Linked DNA regions of Tribolium castaneum. The protein of the gene in region 3 binds, or shares a complex with, the protein of the main gene of each other region. Links are inferred from orthologs where the notes say so. Each region holds a gene or a part of one and is shown on either strand. Other genes may lie near its edges.

Region 1 (5,362 bases), on a different chromosome or scaffold from region 3:
CCTACGAGTGCAGAGTGTGCCAGAAGAGGTTCTTCCGGAAGGACCATCTCGCCGAACACTTTACCACTCACACGAAGACGTTGCCTTACCATTGCCCCATTTGCAACAGGGGGTTCCAAAGGCAGATTGCCATGAGGGCCCATTTTCAGAATGAGCATGTGGGGCAACATGACTTGGTCAAGTCGTGCCCGCTTTGTAGCTACAGGGCGGGCTCGATGAAGAGTCTGCGGGTGCATTTTTTCAATAGACATGGGATTGATTTGGATAATCCAGGCCCGGCTGGGTCTCAGGCGTCTCTGTTTGCGGCGGCCGCCCAACAGGGCTTTTCCATGGACAGTGCTTTGACTTCGTTGGGTAATTTGGCGGGGAGCGTGTCTGTGAGCGTAACAGGGGCGAATTATAGCGACTCTGGGGATTCCACTGGCGCTCGTTCGACGGATAACGCAACCCCACCTATGCATTTTCTAACACCACACGTGGAGATTTCAATGGCCGATGCTCCGGCGCCCGTCTTTTCCCCGAATCTTGTAAGTCCAGTTTCAAAGCGATTTAGTCCTGTTTCTTAGACAGTTTGTTTAGAACGACCAGCGTTCGAATTTGCCGGGCCAAAGCGGCGAAGTGTCCCAAAGGATAAACGGCGAGTGTCCCGGCTCCCCTCAATCAGCCGACTCCAATTCGAATGCTCCGTCCAGCAGCCATATTCAACCAAATTCCCTTAGAATAGACCAAGAAACGAACATAACGCCCTCAATTTCCCTCATCCCCATAAAACAGGAACCTGGAGACGAGCTGTACGACGTTTCCAAACGAAACGGCCCTAACCCAAGCACCTCTCCCTCGGGAAGCGTACAAATGCAAACAGCGACCTCAAGTAGCCTTAGCTCGTTAATCAAAGTGTCTCCGTTGAAGAGCTTACTTCGTGACGATTTAAAGAGGAAGATCGTCTCGCGGATGAACTCCTCGCCAAGGGGGCGCTCCACCGCGAGTCCCAACCAGAATCCTGAGACTTCGCCCAGTGACACGGCGACCACCACCAATGGGGCTATCACCTCGACGGGGCCCGAACAACCGTCGGACTCCTCCCTGTGGCGGGCGATGGGCAAAAGGTCTTTGTCTAGTTTACAATGTATTTTCTGCGGGATCGGATTTCCAGACCAGACTTTGTACTTTTTGCATAAAGGGTGTCACTCCGACGCGAATCCTTGGAAATGCAATATCTGCGGAGAGCAGTGCTGCAATGTTTACGAGTTTAATTCGCATTTGTTGAGTAAAAGTCATCAGTAGGCTCGATTTACTTAAACTATGACATACTTTGTAAAGTTTAGATTAGTTCAAGTTTCATACAGTTTTACACGGAAAAATTGAGTATGTGATAATTTGTTGTAGAAATTGTTGATGCATTTCTTGTTTTTGAACAAGTTCAGGGTTTTATGGGTACATTTACGAGCATTCCGTTTAGTTTCATTCCCTTTTGGAAATTGTCCAAGTGCCTGCCGGTTGCCTATAAGCAAAATTACCTGAAGATTTGCTCTAAACTCATATCCGTCCATTAGTAAGAAGAGAGGTATATTTACAAGCATGATATTTTCCAAAATATATTGTAAAGCAAGTGCTTAGTCTCTATAGTTGGAGCTTCATTACATTGTTACATAAATTAGAATTAAGTTTTACATTTTATATATACATTCCATTTTAGTGTATTGTTGATTCCATGAGACAGAAACAAAATAGTTTGTACAGTATTTATTGTTATATTTTATGGTAATTTTATTTCGTGCAATATATTTTGCAGTGCCTTAAACAAAATTGCACTCGGACGTTTAAGTTCATTTAAATTTTTTTACGAAGTAAGGATTTTATTTTCGTAGGCAATTATCGTAGTGTAGATAGTAGGGCGACATGTTACATTCCTTCAGTTCATTCAAAAATATAGATATATTTTTTTTTTATTTATACACAAAATGTAAATTACAAATTCTTGTAATTCTGGTGAAAGGGTTAAATAAACTTTATGGAATTTTCGTCTCGCTTCGTTTCAATTACACCAGTCTAAAAACAAACACCGGAAAGAAGTCAAAAAATGAGATTCGTATCCGCTACGACTGGCAAAAAATTCCACCGGAAAAATACCGCCAAATTTTAAGTTCGTAGTCACGTGATTAAATTCCCGCCAATCAGCGTTTGCCTGATACGAGCCGGCACGCATAGTGGTTGTCAATTTTTGTAAATTATTTTACCCAAAAAAGTGCTTAAAACGAATTTTTCCGTCTCACGACATGCAAATCATTAAATAAGCCAATTCTGTGATAGTCTATGTTTTGTGAAATTGTTTGGAAGTGTGTCGGTATCTTAACCTCGCAAATTCGTTTCTCCATTTATGGCTAAAAGAACGGCAACAAGTGATTTAAATCACGATAATTGGGATAGGGAGGACGAACCAGAGACGGCTGGAACGTTTACAAAAGCTTCAGATGAAGCTTTGAAGAACAGAGTTATAAAAGTTGCCCGCAGGAGGAACCCCATATCATCAGTCCAAGTCAGTACGGTTTCTAATGTGTGTTGTTTGATTACGAACAATTTTAATTTTTAGAGTGACGATAGCAAACCCAGCGCATTCGGTGGTTTTTCTGGGTTTGGTAAAACGCCAAGTAGTGCATCCAACACGTTTGGATTTTTGTCAAACTTAAATAAAACCGAGACTAGTAAAACCAACGGAACTACGGAAAAAGAAGCAGAGACTTCCGACAAGAAATTAGACGAATATTATGCCAAATTAAAAGGATTAAATGAAAGTGTCACTGAATGGATAAAAAAACACGTGTCATCAAACCCGTTTATCAACTTACAACCAATTTTCAAAGATTACGATAAATATATCAACGAACTTGAAAAGGCGAAAGGCGAGGCAGCGTCAGAAACATCAACTAGTGCCACAACTGCGCCCCAATTTTCCTTTGGTACAACCTCTACAACCACAACTCCTAAATTTTCATTTGGGGCCACTTCTACCGCATCCACAGGATTTTCATTTGGCTCCAGTACCACAACAGTTAGTTTCACTTCAAGCACTAGCACAGCTACCCTATCAGGAGGCGACAGCTCCTTTAAATCGCAACCGTTTTCGTTTGGTAATTCAGGCTCTGACAGCGGCAAATTTTCATTCACAAGCACTGTCATAAAACTAGCAGATGAGCCAAAGCCCCAAGAGCAAGAAGACGAAGACGAGCCGCCCAAAGTTGAGTTTACGCCAGTGGTAGAAGAGGGACACATTTATTCAATCAGATGCAAGGTTTTTGTGAAGAAGGATGGCACTTTTGGAGACCATGGCGTGGGCACTCTGTACCTCAAGCCAGTCCCAAACGGCGAGAAAGTCCAACTCATCGTGCGCGCTGATACGAATTTAGGAAAATTAATTTGTAATTTCATTTTGTCGGAAAGTATCCCAATGCAAAGGATGGGGAAAAAGGATGTTATGTTAGTTTGTATTCCAAATCCAGACACGCAACCTCCACCCGTGCCGATTTTATTGCGGGTGAAAAGTCCGGAAGATGCCGATGAGTTGTTGAAAACTTTGCAGAAACACAAAAAATAGGCTAGGGGTGATTAGCTCAATAAAATATTTTTCTAAGTAGACGTTTTTTTTTTCAAACCAATTTTGATAAAAATTTGAACAGTTCTAAAATTACATATGGTGCCTCATATATACATTTTTATTAATTACACAAGTAAAATATACACATTCTGTGAAATACCCACAAAAATACAGTAATTATAAATAAAACCCGCGGTAAACAGTAAGATAAAACGAGACGTGTAAATCGAAATTGTGGCCATTATAGTATTGCACAGCATTCTGCTTTAAAAACCTGCATTTTTAAAGAAAAAAAGTATCATAGTTTGGAAATTCCATTTATGGCGAGTTTTTTATCTAAATTTTGCCCGAGACCGACTTGAATGTGTTTCATGTGAATTTCGACGGAGTTCTGGAACACTAGTTGATTACTTGGCGTCAACTTCCTCTTGATTTGTTCCATCGTGCCTTGGAGCACTTGCAATTCGTATGCGTTTTGATCCGAATCGGCCAAACTTTTTACTTGCAACATCAAAGCCGTGAGATCGGTGATGAGTTCCAGAATCGATTTATTCTTAACTGGATCCTTGTCGGCCGAAATGATCGAATTCTGTCTTTGTACAATTTCAGCGGCCTCTTCTCGGCACTTTTCCCTCAAATGGCTTGGCGCCAGCATCGCCGCCACGCTCGGCTCAGGGGCGATTTCCTGGCAGAGCGCCTGAACATCATCCAGATACAGCTGCAAATCGTGATTTAACTTCTCAAGATCGATCAAAATGCAGGCGTAATTCCGCTGAAACTCTTCAGGAATCTCCGAATGAAACGAATTAAATTTCTCCGCCTTGGCGTTCATGCCCTTCAGTTCGCTGATTTTCGTCCTCTTGACGCTGAGGATTTTCGTGATTAAGACCATTTTTTCCAAAAGTTTGGTCGGGTATCCCCCTATCCGGCCCTCCTCCTGCGGGAAAATGGGCTTATTGATCATCGAACCCGACAGTAAGGGATCTTTCTTGAATTTTAGGTTTGTGTAAGGGGAGATTTTCGCCGCGTATGTTGTGATCCCGTTCCAGGGTCTGAACTTGTTCTGGAAGCTGGACAACGAGAGGGTTTCGGGTGGTTCGTTTGATAAAACTTCATAATCAGGCACAGAATGTGTGCCTAATCCCTGGCGCTCGAATGTTATTCTGTAGGTGTTGTTTGAGGTGTCCACAGCGTCAATGCTTCCGGTGAATAATCCGTCTTGTGGCTTTCTAAGCCTGGCTGTTACTTTTGTACCGATAACCAATTGCATGGGGATTTCAGGTGGCAAGTCTTTAAAACTCGAAAGTTCGGTGGCTTTCCTCTGTTGTAACGCTCTGATTTTTTTCCGTTTTTTCTCCAATTCTAATCTCTCCTCGTGAAAGAAAGCTTGAGAGCAACGTCGGGGTTTCCCCATCATTCTTCGAATTTTGGTCCATTGTACTCTCGTCAGCTCTCGTGTTTTTAACTCAGGAAACGACTCCTTTAGACAGATACTAAAATCATTTTCCCCCGAAAACAAACACCGGTCGATATCGCTGTAAAACCACTCGTAGCAGACCCATTTGTGTGCCTTGGGCAACTTGAGCACATTTCTCAATCTGAGTCCGATTTTCTGCCCGATTTTCCGATCGGGCGATTGAAGGGGCGGTGGTGAAATATTCCGAGGCGACTTGACGTCCCTCGGTGTGTTTCTCTTGGGCGTTTCTTTGAAACTTTTCGTGGGAGTGTTAACTTTGGGTTTTTTCACAGGCGTTTGCTTCATTTTTTTCG
Region 2 (6,142 bases), on a different chromosome or scaffold from region 3:
GTAATTTGCCCCATTTTGATGCTTTAAGGGACATCTTAAAGCACGCAACGTCATCAAATGTGATGATGTCATAATAACCATTATTTGACGGAAGATTTTACGCAAATTTTTTGGTTTTTTTTATAAAAATAGTACTAACCTGTGATAAACATTCAGCCGCCGGATACTGAAACGCCAAGTCGTTCAATAACAGACACAGAATGTGTAGGAGTCTTCCATTTTGAGCCATAATGTGTGACATAGAGACCCATTCAACAAAACCAGTCAAAGTCAGTAAAACAACTTGAACGACTCTACCATGAGCGGTAGATTTCGGTGTGTTATTTGTTTCACCACATATACGAAATTGGTTCACGTGTAATTCGATTAGACGAAGAAAAAAATCAAAGATGACCGCCATATTGGCGGTGAGGGCATGATAGATGTCTTTTCTTCGCTGATTTGATTCCAGCGTCTGTAAAAGAATTAAAAACAAATTAAAGACGAACAATACCTCATCATTAATTTTTTAGTTGGTTAAAAAATGACTAAAATGTTTAATGTAATCGTTAAACCTTAGTTAAAATTTTTCCATTAAATAGTTCAGAGTACATTTTCCATTTTTAAGTAAAATAAGAAAGATGGTAAAATTTAAGTACAAAATTATTTGGTAATAATATTAATAATAATATCTAGAACATAGAGTAAGTTTAAAGTAATGCGTGGTAATGCATAAAATTAATATTTTTGTTGTCAGTTATTTTTCAAAAAAATCCAGGTTTTTGTAAAATTATGTCTTTTTTATTTTTTTAAAGCAACCGACATTACTGTTTTTGATAGTATGCTTAACCCTGTCAAATTAGATAAATCGGTGTAAAAAATTCCTAGAGAATTGGATGTTTAGCCCTTATTGACCAATTTGTAGTATTCCGTGTTGTTTGTATGAATTAATCTCTTTTTTGCACTTTTGTTATATTAATATAGTTTTGTTATCCATCACGTATTGTCTTTGTTCCCCCTCAAGCGGCTCCCAAAAGTAATTCCCGGGACCGGGGTTCTCGTTCGAGATAAGAGTCACAAATTAATATGGAATCCCCTAGAGACTTCATTTATTCCCATTTATTATCAACTCGTGCAAAAAATAATTAATATAGTACAAGCTTGTTGTTTTTAACATTTTTCTAAATGTCATAACTTATTTCGAGCCATATTCAGCTTTCTTATTGTAAACTGACAACCAAATTTTGCTTTTCATAATTTGAAAGATATTAGTCTTCTGATTCAAACATGTGTAATATGCTAATATGTTTACTTTTACCAAAAATTGCGATATAAAAAAATATTAAATTAAAAAAAATAACAAAAGTTAATAAAAACTCTTTGTAATATGGTGTTAATAAAAAATGTTGACGTTAAAAATAATCTTGTTGCAGGAAAATCCTTTTACAAATTGTAAGTATATTTCATAAAATATTGGCAATATTGTTTTTATTTGTTGCTTTTTAGAACAACAATAATAGTTGCTGTCTTATTTGATACGATACAACTAGATTTAATGTTTTTTTTTCAAATTTAATATTTTTCTGCAATAATTTTTAGTAAAAGTAATAATATGCACATGTTTGTAACAAAAAAAGTAATATTTAAAATAATTTATATAAATATAGCATAAAATAATGTGACATTTAGAAATAAAAATTAAAAGCATCAGGTTATAAATTAAAAACCATCTTTTTTTTGTAAAAAACCATAAATAAAACTTTTATAGCGCTGCCGCTCTTCAAAAACCTTTCTGTATGGAAAGGATTAAACCTGGAACCTATTGCGCGCGAACAAACTTTTTCACATTGAACTTTTCAGGTTCCGCAAAATAAAGTTTTTCGTTTTCTCAAACACACTTTTGTAAATTATGCTAAGGTCTTGTAGTTTACGCTCGTAAGTTCGACTTTAATATTTTAATAATAATTATGTAATATTAATTATTTTATCATTTTTTTTTGTATTTCCTCTATGCATATGAATAACAACAAATAAAACTTACAATTGAAAAAATAAAACAAAAAATTATCACGACATTAACACAAACAAAAAACTTTTGCTCAAACTGCATAGAAAATTTAGCAACCAGTTAATGCATAATTATTATGTTAGTGAGCATGGTAATAGGAATGAAAATTGCGAAACTACATTTTTTTATCAAAATTCCAACCGTAGTAATGTAACAATTATTGTTGTCAAAACAATCTTTCGAAGATTTTTAAAATAAACAGCAAGGTAAATACAATTAAAAAATGGCTTTCAAAAGTAACTAATTTTTAAGTTTGCCAACATATTGTCACTTTGATGGTGTAGATGTCGCCCGAATCGATAACTGTGTGGCCTTCAAAACTGTGATTAAAGTGACCTGTGACTAGGAAATTCAGTTGACAACACTGAATTATTAGATTTATTTGGAAATTATGACAAATTAATAATACAATTTAACGGTCAATAATTTAATCTTTAATTAAGAAAATCAAGTAAATAACGACAAAGAAACGAAGCAGCACAAAATATGCACAAAAAAATACAATTTTGCGAAGGTCAGACCATAACTAAATATTTAAATATGCAAAAGTAGATCTATTATAAAATGAAACGAACATTTCACTCGCTACGGTCGCTTGTGCATTTTAAAAAAATATAACAATACAAACACGCAAACAATTTATAATTAATTTTTTTTATATAAATACTGTCAGTGTCAAATATCAGATAAAGACCAGACTATATCACCCTAACAGTGCATGTCCAACCACTTTTAAAATTGGCTGTATTCCGTATTTGACATTTTGAACACCAGATTTGACATTTTTGAAAATTGGACGTTAGTGTTAATCATTAATTCGTTAGTCTAAAGATGGTCTAAAAAATAACTAAATGTGTTGTACGTGTTTTAAAGTAGAGACAACTTGAAAAATTTGGAAATTGAATTTGCCAGGTAAAATATTACACCAACCTTAATTCAAAAAAATTACTATTTATGATAATGCCAACCCGGCGGCTCTTAAATAGTTGATTATAAAAAAAATCGACAATTAATAGGTAAAATTGGTAGAAAAATGTATAAATAAAATAAAACAAATTTATAAACAAACTATGACTCCAAAATCATGTGGGCTCGGTTTTTCCAATGTTGTCAACTTAGTTTCTAAAATCCTAGCCGCAAAACCCCAACTCACCTGCAGTAAAGCAACATCCTCAACTAATCGTAGAAACACCAACAAAACCAATTCAGTTTGAATCTCCCCACAAGAACAAGCTTCCGACAGCTCTGAGAGCAAACCTGGCCATTGTTGTGGCCATTCTCTCTTCACCATTTCCACAATAACTCGACTTAAAGCATCCTTCATGTGTGGTTCGTCACTAATCCCTCCAGCAGCAAGCAACTTCATTGCATTTTCCTGAAACAACAATCATTAAACTCCATCTGATGCAATATGAAGCAATCGCACCTTGATGAAGATCTTCTCCTGTTGGGAAATTTGCGTCCAGCGATACTTGACCGTATGCTCCATCAACTGCAAGCCGAAATGCCTCGAAATCAAGGAATGTTGCGTCCCTGCGGCCAAATAGAGCCCAGCTTCGGCACACAGAGGTGAAGTCTCTTTAAAGCTTTCGCACGCGTTGTATGCTTTGAGTCGGTCGGTTTGCGAAGCTCCGGTGCTCATTGTGAGTTCAACGGCTCTTGCTAAATCCGCAGCAAGAGCCGCAACGTCTGGTCCAGCCATCGTTTTCGAAAAATTCGGAGAAAAAACTACAAGAACAATCACATGGTGCAAAACAGCATGCTTTTGGTTCGAGGAAGGAAAAGGGGGATTTAACGGGTGATTGTGTGAGAAGTGATTAAGGCGAGACCGAAAATTAAGTGGTTTTAAGACTTACGTTGATTTTTTTGAGTTATTTCTAGTCCATGACACGATTTTCGAACAAATGATGTTTCACTAATAATTTGCTCATTGACGGTTGCCGGCCATTGCCGGCGTGTGCGGCATCTGGTGGAGTTTTCCACAAACTTGAACCAAAATATTTACAGTTTTTTAGCACCAATTCACTAATATTGAAAATTACGCTATAAATGTAAAGAATTAGATAAGGGCCGAGAAGCATTTTATTTTTTTATTAAGAATGTTTTTTCATATGTTTATATTTAAAGTTTATGCAACCAACATTACAACAGTGTATATAGTTTACTGATTTTGTCGAAATTTTAACTAAAAAAATTGTTCAAACTCCAATATTCTTTGATTATAAAATTTAAAGGTCTAACAATTTTGAATTTATAATAAACCTACAGAATTAAGCTTATAGCATACAAATTGTAAAATAAAAATTCTATTATTTGTTTTTGAACTTTTAACATTTTAACTTTAGTTTTTACAGAGTCCTCAAACACTGGAACACCAACATTGTGATAAGTTGTTGAAAAATATGTGTAGATTACGGAAAAGAAATCTTAAACCGATTCTTAAAATAACATTTATAAACTTATTTTGATTATTTCTTTACTTTTTATTATTATTCTGGTTCACACTAAATAATAGTTCTCCAACACAATGAGGAATGATTATTTTTTTAATTTATTATTAATATTTGAATTTAGAAAAATTTAAAATTATCAGAAAATCAAGATCATCAGTATCCAGCACTGGGTACTATTTTTTAGAAAACTGTTTAAAAATAACACATTTTTACTGTTGATCTAATTTTATTGCGATCGCGATTGTTAGACAATGTTGCATATCATTTATTTAAAATTCGTTATTTTTTATCCATAACTTTAATACAGTATTTAGTATTTCTACCTTTATCTGTAAACATTTCTCTGCCACATACAAACTGAAAAAACAATGAAGAAAACAGTGAACAATGCGTTTTTTAAAAAAGTAACACTTTAGTTTTTGATAACTGTAATTTGTTTACAGTTTGACCAACTTTTGTTTTTTGAAAAAAAAAGTTGGCCAACTGTCGAGACTGTTGAGAGCCACTGTGTGGTTTAGGGTAGTTAATTTTTTCCTTAAACATAATAATAATTAATAAGAATTTTTCAAGATTGTGGCTAGCATGTTGATTTGCGTGGGAGGTTGGAACCCCAGTTCTGGCATGAAATTCTTTTTGTATTTATTTTGTAAAATTTATTAACAAAACACAAATTGAAATAAAAGAATTACGAAATGGAGCAAGAAGTTAATTTACCTCTGCCGTTTTATCAATAATTTTAAAGTGCACGCTAATTTTTATCATTCTTGTTCAGCGGTTCTCAAACTTTGGAACCTTAAGATTAAAACGATTTTTTTGAAAAACTATGCATTGTCGATATATTAAAATGTTACTTAATAGATTCGTTTTGTCATTCTCTATCTACCTTCACTTTTTGCTAAACCATTTCCTAACAGACTGTATAAGGAGGAAATGTAAACTTAAGTGAAATGATGGAGGATGAGGCATTTTGTATAATAAATTAGAAATAATATAATAAATTAAATTTTTTCGCGTAATACATTTTACTTCTCAGTTCGAAATTTTTCAGAAAATAATTTTCTGACACCGGCGTTGAAAAAAAAACAACGAACACAAATATTTTGTTTGGGAAAGTTACGACCATAAAAGTGTTTTTAAATTTTTACAAACCACTCAAATCATCATTACGGCACACAATGACATCAAGCCATACCATTTTCATTAAGAAACCAGTCGCATTTTAGCTTTTCTAACTGTGAGCATCTAGTCGTGTTGAACTAAATTTCTATTGCGGAATGAAATCAAAATTATTAACCGTTTTATTTAGCGTATTTTATGTAATTTCCTGTCAAAACCTAGATGAGGAAATTGATGATTTATGGGGAAATAAAGAGGAAGAAGACAACAACCAAATGACCACATTAGCACCTAGAATGTCGGATAATTACACCATCGCACAAGAATGTGAATGTGTGCCTTATTATTTGTGTGATAGAAAGAAAGAATTGAAGGTAACAAATAATGGTGCAGAATCAATAAATGTAAGGTAAGGACAAAATTTATGCGAATCTGGACCCTAAAATAATTCTGAATCAAATTCAATTCGATCTAAATTCAACTTTGGACCGCATTGGATTAGATTGTGCCTGTTTTTCTTGTATAC
Region 3 (6,284 bases):
ATTATTAAGAAAAATAAATCCAAATAAAAAGTGCTTTTCTGCCTAAAAAATGCACTAGCCGTTCGAAATCTTAATTTCGAAAAAGTGTTTACTAGACGTTGAAAAGAGGGAAAAATAATACTATTTTTGACATAATTTTTTGATTTTTCATAGAAAAATTCTCGAAATAATTGCGTTGAGATCTCAAAAACGTGCAAAACATTGAAAAAAAAACAATAAACGTGATTTTTCAGCTCGAAAACATGCCCAAATGCTCGAAAAAAGCAAGAATTAATAAAACTCTAATTCCTTTATCGAGAAGGTTAAAAAAATGTTTGAGTAAATTACACTTATATAAAACAAAAAAATAACAACATTTTTGACAAATTTTTCCGATATTTCGAGTTATTGTTAAGAATCTTAACGAAATAATTGCGTTGCTGTCTCAAAAAAATGCAAAACGCTCGAAAAAAAGCTGAGGAAGTTGTGACATTTCAACATGATTTAGTAAAAGTCTCTCGAAAATAAATTCCTAGCAAACGTTTAAAAAATTATATTTGACTTAAGTGCAGCCATAATTTAATGTAGAATATTATCTATTACCTATAGCTCTCTCATCGAGAATATTTTTGAGTAAATTACACTCATAATCTTACATAAATACCAGCGAAATCTTACAGAAAAATTATGGCTTTAACTTAAAACAGTGCTTCATTTTCCACAAAATTTTCTGATATTTCGAGTTATTATTGAGAATCTTATCGAAATATTTGCGGTGCGCTCTGAAAAACATGCAAAAACCCTCAAAAAAAGCTGAGAAAATTGATTTCTCACCTTGATTTAGAAGAATCTACTAAAAAATTTCTATAAATTTTAACTTAAAAATGTGCTCAAATGCCTAAAGAAGACAATTATTTATGAAAATCTGGTTCTGTCACCTTAAATACCATGAACTAAGCTTACAATTTTAATAACTTCTAATTTGGAAAACTTGCTGAAATTAATGAGGCAATTAAATTATTAGGTGAGCTCGTCTTAAAAAATTCCGAAATATCAAAAAGTTCTGATCGTTCTCACACCAAACGCATGTACCTATAAATAATGTTACTTTTAATTAAATTAAAGTCAAAATTGCAATAAAAATTTTATTATTTTTACATTAGCAAAATTAAAAAAACTGAGTTTTTAGTTCATAAAAAGCAAAAAGTAATCGTTTTCCATCTAATTTTCTAATTTTTCGGTTCGGTTTAGCAAAACCTTGTGGAAAAAGGGCTTCAGGGCTCGAAAAGAGCAACAGTTCATAAAATTTTAGTACCTTCTGTTGTTTTATGACTTTACCAATCAACAAGCCTCTTCTGCTTCGAGTCCTTTCGTTTCTCAAATTGTGATTACAAAAAAAAAATCGGTTTAAAGCGAGATTTGAAGATTAATATGTTTTCAAAAAAGATCTCTCGAAAGTATTTAGTCCCATCTTTGTGAGCACACATTTTCGTACAATTGAATAAGATTTTTTTCCATACTGTTGTCGCTCTCGTGGGGGTCTGTTTGGGGCAAACAAGGGCGCGTGTCCACCCCTGTCGCAATGAAACGAGTAGGCCGTCCATCTCCGCTAATACATTTACCGATATAAAATAACAAGAAGCCGTCACATTGTGACGCGACCATGTGTTAGAGGAGGTGACGTCCTCTCCGGCGGCGGGTCTCGTTCCGCCCCCCACAGCTGCATCGCGCCCCGTGCCACACAGTGCACCGGAAGCACCCTCGGAAGTTGCTTCGTTCAAACAAAAAAAAATCGCAATTTTTCCGAAAAGTTTTATAAAATCAGAGCCGTCTTATTGTTCACGTGGTGGTCGAGATGTTGGCCATCTTGGCGCTGGCGGCCTGATTATAGTGATAAAAGAGCGAGCCGGGTCTTGATTTGGCCCCCAAAGGCAGAAACTTTTATTTCTTTGACAATGTATATCATGAGGCAGCGACTCATTACTTTTATGGCGAATTAGGCTTGGCAGCGGCCCAAGGGCCCCCGTCCAATGAACATGTTTTGCAAAGAATGGGCTTTTTTGAAATGCTGGCTCGTAAAATGACAGAATAACGTTTGCAGTTTCCTGTCGGCGAGGCTAAGAGTAACGCAATACTTTATTATATCGACGACGACACAGAGGACCAAAAGCTACGACATTCCGGATGTGGCGAATGCTATTGTAGGTGAAGCTTTTGTGCACTTCACTTGCAACAATTGCGGTTTCCTGAATAACCTGTGAGCTTTCCGATCGCTTTGATGTCTTCATACGGTAATTGTGCGATTCGATGCTCATTCTATGCTCCGGGACCCAAATGGAAATCAACTGCTCCGGAATACGTAATTCTATACTATTTCTAAGACGCATTTACTCGCAAACAAACAAATTTTCGCAATTTTCTACTTGGCGCAAACACACAAGGTGGGCAATAGCAAAATCAACAATTCAGTGGAACGCGGTCATAACGAACACCCAAAGAACAATTTTCAAGTTAAAGGAGTTCCAAAGTTTGGAATAGATACAGGAAATAAAGTATAAATAGACTTATTAAAAAATATTACATATTATGATAATAAGGCAAATAAGTCCGATAAGTCCGAGTTTAGAGTTTGGTCGAAAATGACCAGAAATTTACCTTTCCTAGGCGTTTATTCAGCAATAACTCAATTATAAATAACAGAATTATGTCAAAAATGACGAGTTCTGAAAGTTTAAGCACGTTTTTAGAGCAAAAATCAAGGTTTTCTTCATGTTTTTCTTAAACTAAAGTGAAAAAATCACCAAATTTGGTCGGAAATCAGCAAAATTTTACCTTTTCTAAGCGTTTATTCAGCAAAAACTCAATAATTGCGCAAAATTTCTTAAAAAGTAAACCAATAAATCACAGAATTATGTAAAAAATGACATTATTTTTACAAGTTCTGAAAATTTAAACACATTTTTAGACCAAAAATCAAAATTTCCTTTCGTTTTTTATCAAAGTGGAACGAAAAAATCACCAGATTTGGTCGAAAATGACCAAGATTTTATCTTTCCTAAGCGTTTATTCAGCAAAAACTTCATTATTGTGCAAAATTTCTCAATAAATCAAAGACTTATGTCAAAAATGACATTATTTTTGCAAGTTCTGAGAATTTTAACATGTTTTTAGACCAAAAATCAAGGTTTTCTTCCTGTTTTTATTAAAGTGGAACGAAAAAATCACCAGATTTGGTCGAAAATGGCCAAGATTTTACCTTTCCTATGCGTTAATTCAGCAACAACTCAATCAAGTGTGTTATGAATGGGTTCGTTATAAACGGACGCCACTGTATTTTTGCCTAAATATTGGACGTTAAAAGTGATGTTTGTTTGTTCGTTAAAACCGAACCAGTTTGTTACTACAATAGGTATAGGACTTTAAAACGGGACTTATAATTTTGTTTGTTATATCCGAGCGTCTGTTAAAAGCCGGGTTCATTATAACTAATTTTTTTTGAGTTTCACTCACCAAAGCACACACAGCGAAGGACCAGAGACTCAGTAAACACGAAATTTTGGCACAAAACACACTTTTTCACCTCAAATTTGCATTTTTGTCCCACTTTTCACACAAACAAATAATTGCAAATGTCAAGTTGTCAAATTTGCATTTGGGGATTTTTTATTTAAAACAAAAAACGATCGAACGTCGATCAGGAACAAATTTAATTAATTCATTAATAAAAAATATATTTTGTCTTAAGAGTTCTTCGTAGGTCTTACCCAACTTTGTCCAAATATTTTTTTTTACAATTCCGTAGAGATTTAATGAGAAAATAATTAATTAGTTGAGGGGTTGAAAGTGTCCTTGGGAATTTTGCATTTAAACAATTGAGTAACACCTGCTTGGGGGGGAGCTACAGATATTTTATAATCAGGTTTTTTTTTAATTAGTAATCAATAATTAGTGAATGATTCGTTTGGGAAAATGTGCTAACAAATCAAAATTTTATTTTTTTGCCCACCTTTTAGCCGGGCGTCGAACCTAAAAAAAGATCGCTTATCTGTCAAAATATAGGTTACCGGTGATTGTGTAGTGTTGTGAGTTTTTCTGATTCTTTAACAAAAACACTTTTAGACCTTATCGAGGTGAGTAGTGCGAGTGTATGAATGGATCGGTGTAAAAAAAATTCCGATTAATGGCTTTGTCTTGCGGTAAAAAACGACAGAATGGCTTTGAGGTTATGCAACTTTCACGTGTTTTTTGGGCCGATCGGGTTCATGTCTCGCTGTTGTTTTGCTTATTTGGGGATTAGATGACAAAAAAGTTTGTTTTGCGTAATGTTTAGTCGCGTTTTTGCGGGAATTATGTTTTTGTGGGTTAAATCGTGTGTGGGTCCTTGTCGCCACCTGGCGGTGGTTTGCGTGATGACGGGTCGCGGCGTTTTCGAATTTGGTTGAAATTTGAGACGGTTCTTGTTTTAGTAAAAAATTGATTAAATCAGCGAAATTTCGAAATTATAACGGCGGATTTAAGGGCCTGGGGCGCTGTGTGGCAAATTACATTAATATGAAAGTAGGAATTGATGGTAAATTCGAAATTGTAGCCTATGGAACGGTGAGCTTATTATTATGTAGTGCTTTTTTAAAAATGCTGAACGCTCTGCAAAGTCCCTAAGTTACAATTTCGGTATCAGATTGAAAATTGCTATTTTGTGCAAATTAAGTTGCAGTCGGTGATGTGTGTTATTATTTGAACGCATAACCGACGATTTGCATATCGGAAAATGGACGAAAAAGGCGCAGAATGCCAACTCGTGACCTTATCTAAAAGGTGGTTTAATTCGGTCTTGTTGCTCGTGTTGCAGATCATGCCACCTAAAAAGGTACAAGAGCCGGAGAGAAAGCCGCTCATAGGGCGGGTGGGCACCAACTTGAGGGTCGGTATCGTCGGGATACCCAATGTCGGCAAGTCCACCTTCTTCAATGTGCTCACCAAGAGCTCGGCCGCCGCCGAAAACTTCCCCTTCTGCACCATCGACCCCAATGAAAATAAGTATCTTCACCAATTTTTCCCAATCCGAAAATTTTTTTGTTGGCAAAATTTTATTGCGATTTAAAAAGAATTGTTTAGTCTGAGAGCAAAGCGGCTCATTCTACGTATTATACCGGGTTTTTACGAGATTTAAAATTTTGAATTTTTTTGCTTAAAATTTTAATGGTCAACGCAAATACTTTCATAAAAAAAAAATTAAACTCACTCTAGCATAGTTTTATGGACTTTTATATATCTTAACAATCCACTAGAGTTGTTAAAAGTTCAAAAAAAGTTCATATGTTCGATTTTTTTATGTTTAATTTTTCCAATTTTTGTCGCGATTTTGGTTGATTTCGAGTACCCGGAACATTTATCGAGCAATAACTCCGGAACTATGAGAGATAACTCTATGAAGTGTACTATCGTTGGAAAGCTCTTTATATTATCCATCTTTTTTAAAAAAGATCATTGTACTCCGACTAATAGTTTTCGAGAAAATTGCAAATAAAAGCAAAAATTGGTCGAATTAAAAAAAAAATATAACTTAAAAACTATTGAGAATTTGGCAATTTTCTCAATGCCAATCGATTCTCCAGATCATTTTGCATTAGTATGGATTAAAACAGTTACACTTTTTCAAGTAGTTTAGTCGTAATTGAGAAAATAAAAAAAATAAAAAAAAATTAACACCCCTTCCCACAAAATGGCTAATTTTAAAAGTGTCTCAAAATCAAATAAAATCGATCCTATCTTATAGATTTTGATGTGCTCTTTTCGATCTAAAAAAGCGTTTTCTCCTAGCTCTTTTAGTTTGGCTGTAATCGGCGTTTGAAAATTGAAAATTTTTTTGCGAGTCCTATGCCATTTTGTAGAGTTTTTTATTCCGGTTATCCTCCATTTTTCCGTTTCTCGATATCTTTAATAGTTTCGCCGTAATTGGCGATTGAAAATTGAAAAAAAGTGAAAATGGAAACCTTTTTTTGCGTTTTTCTCGGAAACTGTAAGACTTAGAGCAACGAACAAAAAACCATCTGATAGCGCTTAATTTTCTCTATTTTTTCGATTAAACCCGGAGCCGCTCCGGGCAACGGTTCCGGCTACAGAGGCGATCAAAGTTTTTCACTAAAAAAATTCATAAAAAAAAACTAAAAGTCGTAGAGCAATGCGGTTTGTTCTATTGAATTCTGCGGCTCATTTTACATATTATATCAGTTTTTTTACTTCGAAAAATCAAAAATTAATTTATTAAAATAACTTGGGTTAACTATTTATACCCGTCACTGCCA
Region 4 (6,255 bases), about 2.3 Mb from region 3:
ATATGCGTTTGACTCTTCTTAACACACAGCGAGTTAAATAACGACGATAACACCTTAAGTCTCGTAATTAGCGAAGTTTTCACAGCGGGTGACTAAAAACAACATTAACACTTCAAATCAAATCACCTGCGATAACACACCGGTTCGACATTCAGCAAGTCTTGCATTTCCTTAAAAGATGGCGCTAGAATTATATTGAGATAGTCCATAATACGTGGCACCGGTAGAATACTCAAAACCTTTCCTATACTGTACATAAGTCGGCTACATTCGGCCAACTTCAAAGCGCCCCCTTGTAGCGCAGACTGAAAAGTGGTGACTTAAGTAACAATTCAAGTTGGCGGAATGACCTACTTGTGCTGCTAGCAGAATATGGTCGGCGTATGGTAATAAATACTTCTGGCAGCTATGTGTCAAGTCTTTCAAGGCCATGGTAGCGCTGGTTGCAACTTCGGGTTTGTCTAGCGCCGAAATCACCAATGGTAACACATTTTCCAACATTTCTGGATGTTCGGTGATCCAATCAGAGTACGAGCCTACGGTTTCTAGCGCCGAAGCCATGACTTTTTTGTGCAAGTCGGTAAAGGGGATTTCTTTAATCGTAACCATCAGCTTGGGCAAATATAAATTTTCGAGTTCGATAGATTCGGCAATTGCGCCGAAGGCGTGAAGGCAAGTCTCGACTTCGTTCCATTGAATAGGCGGGGGAACCACCGATGTATTATTCTTATGTAGAGCTTCGATCAATTTACTGTTCAAAATATCGAGCATTTCCAAATTTAAAACATTGTAGCAGTAGATGAACGTGTCGGCGATGTCTTGCCGGTAACAGCGGAACACTTCCTTATCGTCCAGCGACCAATCGCCGTCCTCATTCAATGGAAACATGGATTTGCGTAACATTATACAAACTAAGTCGCGATAGTAGGGTTTTATCATTAGTAACAATTGGGCGCATTCGGCCGTTTCTAGCGATAAAATATCGTCTTGTAACGTGTACCAAAAACCGAAAGTTAAGGTACTGCTTGATTCATCAACGGGGTACAAGCCGGGTAGATTTGTACATTTTAAAATCGAGTTGAAAAAATCGAAACTGATTCGTTGCTCGTCCACGTTTTCCGATTTTAAATTGTTGATGAAAATTTTCGAATGCACGTCGGCTATTGTTACCAATAAGCCATACAAGTTGGCTACAATGTCCTAAAATATGCGTGTCAGCATCACTTCAATCGAGGACTAAATCACAGCCTCCTTGAGGGAATTTGTGGCAATTTTTACCAGATTTTAATCGATTTTCTTTAATAGAGCAGAAGGTTAAAATATTTTTATTCTAACAGTTTTGTTTACCAATTTTTGTCTAATTCTGTGATTTTTTTGACTACTTTCCAACGTAATCTTGCGTCTCTCCTTAAGAAAAATAAACTAATCGCTCAAAGAAAGCAAAAATAACACAATTCCTGACTTAATTTTGTGAATTTTTGGATGGTTTTAATAAAATTTTGCGAAATAATTTCGTTTATGGCTTTAAGACCTAATAAAACACCCAAAAACAGCCAAAAAAAAATTTCGATTTAATTTGGTAATTAATTTCAGTCTTGTCTAAAGAGTTCGTACAAAAAACTGACAGTTTATTTTGAAAATAATTGAAAAAGGTAAGAATAAGGCAAATTTCGACAGATGGAAGAATTTAATTTAATTCTAGAAATAATAGCGCTTTTATCAAAATGTCACAAAAAATTAAGAATTTATTGCGTAAATACGTGTGTAAAAAAGTGTAAAAGTGAAAAGGTAAAAATAACACAATTTTCAAGAAAAAAAAATCCTAAAAAGAAGTTAAAAAAATTCTCGTAACAACAAAATAAATTCAATATTAAATAATTCAAGCAGTTTTGCGACATTTTTCATAAAAAAATACACAAATTTTGGCTTAATGTGTTGATTTTTCAATCACTTTTAGCAAAACCTCACCCAACACTTAAGATTTTAATTCAAAAACGTGCTTAAAAACACTAAAAAGATGGAAACAACACAATTTTCAACCAAATTTTTCTGGGTTTCTTGACTTATTTTCAACGAAAATGTGCGAAATAATGACATTTCTGGCTAAAAACGTAAGAAAGTAATTTTTCAATGAATTTATTTGTTGGGAAAACGTTTCTACCTACAAAAAAATGTACTCGATATAATCGCATTTTCGGCTTAAACTGGCGAGTTTCCGCCTTGTTTGTAACAAAATTTTACAAAATAATTTAATTTGGATGTTATCTTACAAGCTTTCGGTAAAAAAACCGAAATTTTAAGATAAAAACGGGTTTTAAAAGTTCAAAAAGCTAAAAATAATACAATTTTCCACAAACTTTGGAGTTTTTCAGCTTAGTTTTGACGAAATTTTACTGAAGTCAGCTGCTACTACTACAAAGTACCATCAATTTAGATATTTTTGGTGTTATTATTTACGTATTATTTGACTGACAAAATAAATGAGTCTAAAGTTCAAAAACGAATTAAATCAAGTATCAATTTCGATTCAATTTGGAAAAAAAATGTCCCCCAAAAATCTGCTTAATTTTCAAAAAAGGCAATTTTAATACCATTTCCTATCCATCAAGGAGGCTACGTTTTTATCCTCCCTAAACCAAACTCACTTTATTGCTCTCTGGACTATTCCTTTCACATTCAAGGATTTTTTCAAATTTGTACAACATATCAGCACTACATTTCATCACATGGTTGTGATACCGATTAGTGTGCGGGTGCTGGATTATGGTGGTTAGAGCCTCCACAGTCACTTCCATCAACTCCATTTCTTCTGGAGACATGCATTCAGGATCCGTCTTGTTCCTTTATTATTTTAACTGAGAAAATTTCCAAAATCGATTCCTGAACTTACCAATATGCGAAACACGTCAAATTTATTAAAAGATTCATAACTGACGTACAATCGTCAATATTTAAACCGCCTAACTGTATCCAAGCAGACGCACATCTTGCCGCATTTAAATACGTCGTCAAATTTAACATATCGAAGCTAAAAGATGTGTGAAAAATTGTAAGAAATTAATTTAAAAGTGCGTAAATACCCGGCACTTGGAAGTGGCATGAGACACATCTCGACCACTTTAAGGATGTCTTTCGAAACGTCTTGCAAGACAGTGCGTACCCTCATCCGTTGGCTTACTGCTAATAACGTGCTTTGAAACTAAAAAATTACCATGATCAAAGTCGCCTGTGACTTAAGTGTTGCCAACTCAATTTCCGAACCCTTACCTCTTCTGGTATCACAGTCAGGATTTCTAAAAGTATCCAAATGACTCTTTCGGGCTCAACGTTGGGCAAGTGCTGGGGCTGGAAACTCGAAACCAGCTCTTCAAACGCATTGGGCCAATGCGTCGGCACAGTGTGTATAATATAAGCCGACAACTGGAACAGACCATAAGTCGAAGCTTCCCCCTTTGTAACTTACAGTAATGCAGAGCCGGTTCAGGACAATTTTGGGGCCCATGGCATAGTTAATAATCGCCTCCAGAATGCGCTTCTTCAACAGCTCGTAATGATCCTCCGGCACCTCATTCCAGTGCTTCATCAGCTTCGTATGGAGCGTCGTGGCAGCAAAGAACTGCACTTCGGAATTCTGCAAATCAAAGCTCACTTTACGCACTGGCGCGAAACTAGGCTTACGCGATGGGGGCTCAACAACTCCCACACGAAGCTCCACGCTTGGGGCGAATTCTGGGCCTCGGTCAGCCACTGGTGGGCCTCCGCCTGTTGCCCCGCTTCGGTGCGGTAAAATAAGGTCACGGCTTTTTCCAAATTTTCCGCCGTGTATTCCATGCTTGATGCGAATTTAAACCAAATCTTCGAATTAATTACGAGTTTGTTTTTACTTTTGCTACATTTTACGGAGTGACAGTCGGCGTTACGTCGATAACTGTCAAAAATACGCGCTCGTCAGCAGTCTTACGACACGCGCTGGGGGCCAAGGGGGCTGACACCAACTGGGAAATGGGGCGTTTTTGTGCACTTTTTGCCACGATAAAAAACACAAATTGTCGATTTACGAATTGGACGAGGTTAAGGCGCCCCCACTGTCGCCAACCCAAAAATTACAATTTTGGAAAAAAATTAATAAAATTGTTTAAGCGCAACATTTTTTTTAGTGTTGTTTAAAACGGTGTTTATTGATTATTTTAAATCATCCAAAGGCTGGAAAAGGGCAAGGAAAAGGGTGTTTTTCGTGTGGTGTTGGTTGCATAGACAGCCGTCACTCTTTTGGCAGCTGGTTGATTAGAAAAATGGCGGATACCACAGAAAGTGAGTTTGTTTAATAAACATATAATTTCAATTTTTGTTATCAGTGTTGTGATAACGGTCAGAATTGGTTTAGATTTGCGCTAGTGCGAGGTACATGTTTTGATTTTGTCGCTTTTATAGATTTGGACAATAGTGGTAGCCTTAACCCCCCAATAACAATGAAAGTGGATGCACCAGCGGAAGAAGACAAAACAGGTAACCCAAACGTTTCGCTTTGCTCGTGTTTGCTTCACGTGCCCCGTTCCAGAAGCTGGTGACAACGAGAAAAACGCCAAGAACGAAGAATTCAAAACGTGCACTCCTGATAGAATTCCAGTAACAAGTGTTACAACAAACCCGTTCGCTACTTCACAAAACAAATTGGCAACGCGTGGCATTTTGAAGCCTCCTCAGTTGAGTCTAAACAACGCTAACAATTCCGCAAAACCGGCTGTTATTCTAAATCCGAGTCGACTGAACCCGTTTGCTAAACCAACAAATGATGGCGCCAAGGAAGAGAGCAAAACTGTTCAATTGAACGGGGAAACACCAAAATTCGTACCACTGGTGCAAACAGAACCAAAAACGAACTCAACTCAGCCGGTTGTAACAACGGCCAGCACAACCCTCTCGACAACTTCCTTCGTTTTTGGACAGAACCTACAGGACCGTGTTGTGGGCAGTGACGCGAAAGCGGACGAACCTAAACCTTCGACTAGTTTAAATTCCAATGGGACGTCGGAAATGCTCTTTAGCAGCGCTATTAAGAGTGAGGGCAAAACTGATGGAACCATTACCAGTAAAGAAACGAAGTCGTTGAGTGAGTCGGCGAGGGAGTACGAGGAGTCGAGGGCCAATAAGAGGAAGTACGAAGAGGTGGAAATTATCACGGGGGAAGAGAACGAAACGAATATTTTAAACATTAATTGTAAATTGTTCGCGTTTGATAAGGCGTCTGGGAGTTGGCAGGAGAGGGGCCGAGGGGTTTTAAGGCTGAACGACTTTGAGGGCGAAGGGCACGCGCAAAGTCGGCTGCTTTTCCGGACAACGGGGATTTGGAGGGTTATACTGAACACCAAAGTGAGTGGCCAGGTTATTTCCCCGGGCCTATGAATTTTTTCAAAATTTTTCCACATTTGTCTTTAATCAAAAAATAAAACTGGTTTCATTAAAATATATTAAAGCTGGTTAGTTAATTTCGGTAATTTTTTAGATTTGGGCGGAAATGACTGTAGAACAGGCTAGTGAGAAAAGCGTGCGGTTCACGGCGATGGACCCGCAAGGTGTGATCAAAGTTTTCCTCGTAATGGTGAATTAAAGTGATTTTTTAAATAATTTTTTATTGCTCGTTTGTTTCAGGCTAGTATTGAAGATAGTAAACAACTGTACTCACAGATCCAGCTTAGAGTGCAGAAAGAAATAGCAGCCCAAAAACATAAAAAACTTAATGTAGATAAAGACTCAGGGGGCAATTAAATTGTTTACTAAATAAAACATTTTCACGGTACCATTGTGCAGAGTTCATTTTGATAAAACTACAAATGTGATGTAAATTAAGTTTTAATCTTTAAACAGTAACGTTTTTACAGAAGTTTTGTCACGCTCATCGATTCTAGTTATTTAAAATCTAAAAGTATCATTTAATTGGATGTGTTATATTTTGTAATGATAAGCAATAAAACTTTGAAAAAAGTACAAGCCCTTTTGCTACCCACAAAAATGAAACTATTTAATTCAAACAATTATTAAGCTGACATGACTACAGTGAAACCCCTTACAACTGCATACACCTAAACAAAAGGCAAAAAATGATCATTTTCCGTTGTTCTGGTTAAATAAGTTACAGACAATGGGATAATGATTTTAACGGGGACAGAGATAAGCAATGAAACTTGTAAAAAGACCAACAGTATATTTTTTGGGGCATACAAAAATAACAATCTGCACAATCTCAATTCTACACAA

The links.
Region 1: the proteins of Ran (region 3) and Nup50 are in contact, whole or in part, in a crystal structure (PDB 7MO0), measured with the Homo sapiens proteins. The link is inferred for Tribolium castaneum from reciprocal best matches to the Homo sapiens genes RAN and NUP50. Residues at the interface, in NP_006316.1 of Homo sapiens: Arg29, His30, Thr32, Gly33, Glu34, Phe35, Glu36, Phe52, Val124, Asp125, Ile126, Lys127, Ser153, Asn154, Tyr155, Phe157, Glu158, Phe176, Ala178, Pro180, Ala181, Leu182, Ala183, Pro184, Glu186, Val187, Asp190, Pro191, Ala194, Tyr197; in NP_009103.2 of Homo sapiens: Pro344, Pro345, Lys346, Val347, Val352, Lys362, Cys363, Lys364, Phe366, Tyr367, Lys368, Asn371, Glu372, Phe373, Lys374, Glu375, Lys376, Gly377, Ile378, Lys384, Lys390, Gln392, Leu394, Arg396, Thr399, Asn400, Leu401, Asn403, Ile404, Leu405.
Region 2: Ran (region 3) and Ranbp21 share a complex: the UniProt entries of both Homo sapiens proteins name them as parts of the nuclear export receptor complex. The link is inferred for Tribolium castaneum from reciprocal best matches to the Homo sapiens genes RAN and XPO5.
Region 4: the proteins of Ran (region 3) and cdm are in contact, whole or in part, in a crystal structure (PDB 3ZJY), measured with the Homo sapiens proteins. The link is inferred for Tribolium castaneum from reciprocal best matches to the Homo sapiens genes RAN and IPO13. Residues at the interface, in NP_006316.1 of Homo sapiens: Lys37, Lys38, Tyr39, Leu43, Gly44, Val45, Val47, Pro49, Trp64, Gly74, Leu75, Arg76, Asp77, Gly78, Tyr79, Ile81, Gln82, Asn103, Arg106, Asp107, Arg110, Val111, Tyr147, Trp163, Arg166; in NP_055467.3 of Homo sapiens: Leu33, Tyr34, Tyr35, Ile39, Lys42, Gln46, Leu49, Met50, Gln53, Glu73, Tyr76, Phe77, Ser80, His83, Ile84, Ile118, Thr121, Arg122, Val125, Val172, Glu175, Glu176, Thr179, Ser414, Asp415, Arg784, Asp785, Pro787, Asp788, Pro829.

What each region holds. Positions count from the first base shown.
Region 1 is NC_087402.1:5,414,160-5,419,521, reverse strand, and holds Nup50 (nuclear pore complex protein Nup50), read left to right. Parts: upstream 1-2,163; 5' UTR 2,164-2,377; coding exon 2,378-2,536; intron 2,537-2,590; coding exon 2,591-3,592; 3' UTR 3,593-3,631; downstream 3,632-5,362. Other genes in the region: zinc finger protein ztf-16, read left to right, coding at 1-527, 580-1,284; mip130 (protein lin-9 homolog), read right to left, coding at 3,891-5,362. UniProt on the Homo sapiens protein: Component of the nuclear pore complex that has a direct role in nuclear protein import. Actively displaces NLSs from importin-alpha, and facilitates disassembly of the importin-alpha:beta-cargo complex and importin recycling.
Region 2 is NC_087402.1:11,608,539-11,614,680, reverse strand, and holds the start of Ranbp21 (exportin-5), read right to left. Parts: upstream 4,032-6,142; 5' UTR 3,904-4,031; intron 3,776-3,903; 5' UTR 3,750-3,775; coding exon 3,474-3,749; intron 3,423-3,473; coding exon 3,201-3,422; intron 455-3,200; coding exon 140-454; intron 1-139. Other genes in the region: phenoloxidase-activating factor 2, read left to right, coding at 5,775-6,025. UniProt on the Homo sapiens protein: Mediates the nuclear export of proteins bearing a double-stranded RNA binding domain (dsRBD) and double-stranded RNAs (cargos). XPO5 in the nucleus binds cooperatively to the RNA and to the GTPase Ran in its active GTP-bound form.
Region 3 is NC_087395.1:25,443,550-25,449,833, reverse strand, and holds the start of Ran (GTP-binding nuclear protein Ran), read right to left. Parts: upstream 3,622-6,284; 5' UTR 3,490-3,621; intron 1-3,489. UniProt on the Homo sapiens protein: GTPase involved in nucleocytoplasmic transport, participating both to the import and the export from the nucleus of proteins and RNAs. Switches between a cytoplasmic GDP- and a nuclear GTP-bound state by nucleotide exchange and GTP hydrolysis.
Region 4 is NC_087395.1:23,155,932-23,162,186, forward strand, and holds the start of cdm (importin-13), read right to left. Parts: upstream 4,032-6,255; 5' UTR 3,832-4,031; coding exon 3,679-3,831; intron 3,632-3,678; coding exon 3,464-3,631; intron 3,421-3,463; coding exon 3,268-3,420; intron 3,200-3,267; coding exon 3,081-3,199; intron 3,029-3,080; coding exon 2,891-3,028; intron 2,842-2,890; coding exon 2,646-2,841; intron 1,201-2,645; coding exon 355-1,200; intron 306-354; coding exon 141-305; intron 93-140; coding exon 1-92. Other genes in the region: RanBP3 (ran-binding protein 3), read left to right, coding at 4,293-4,311, 4,432-4,506, 4,559-5,370, 5,504-5,599, 5,650-5,766; Pex5 (peroxisomal targeting signal 1 receptor), read right to left, coding at 6,248-6,255. UniProt on the Homo sapiens protein: Functions in nuclear protein import as nuclear transport receptor. Serves as receptor for nuclear localization signals (NLS) in cargo substrates.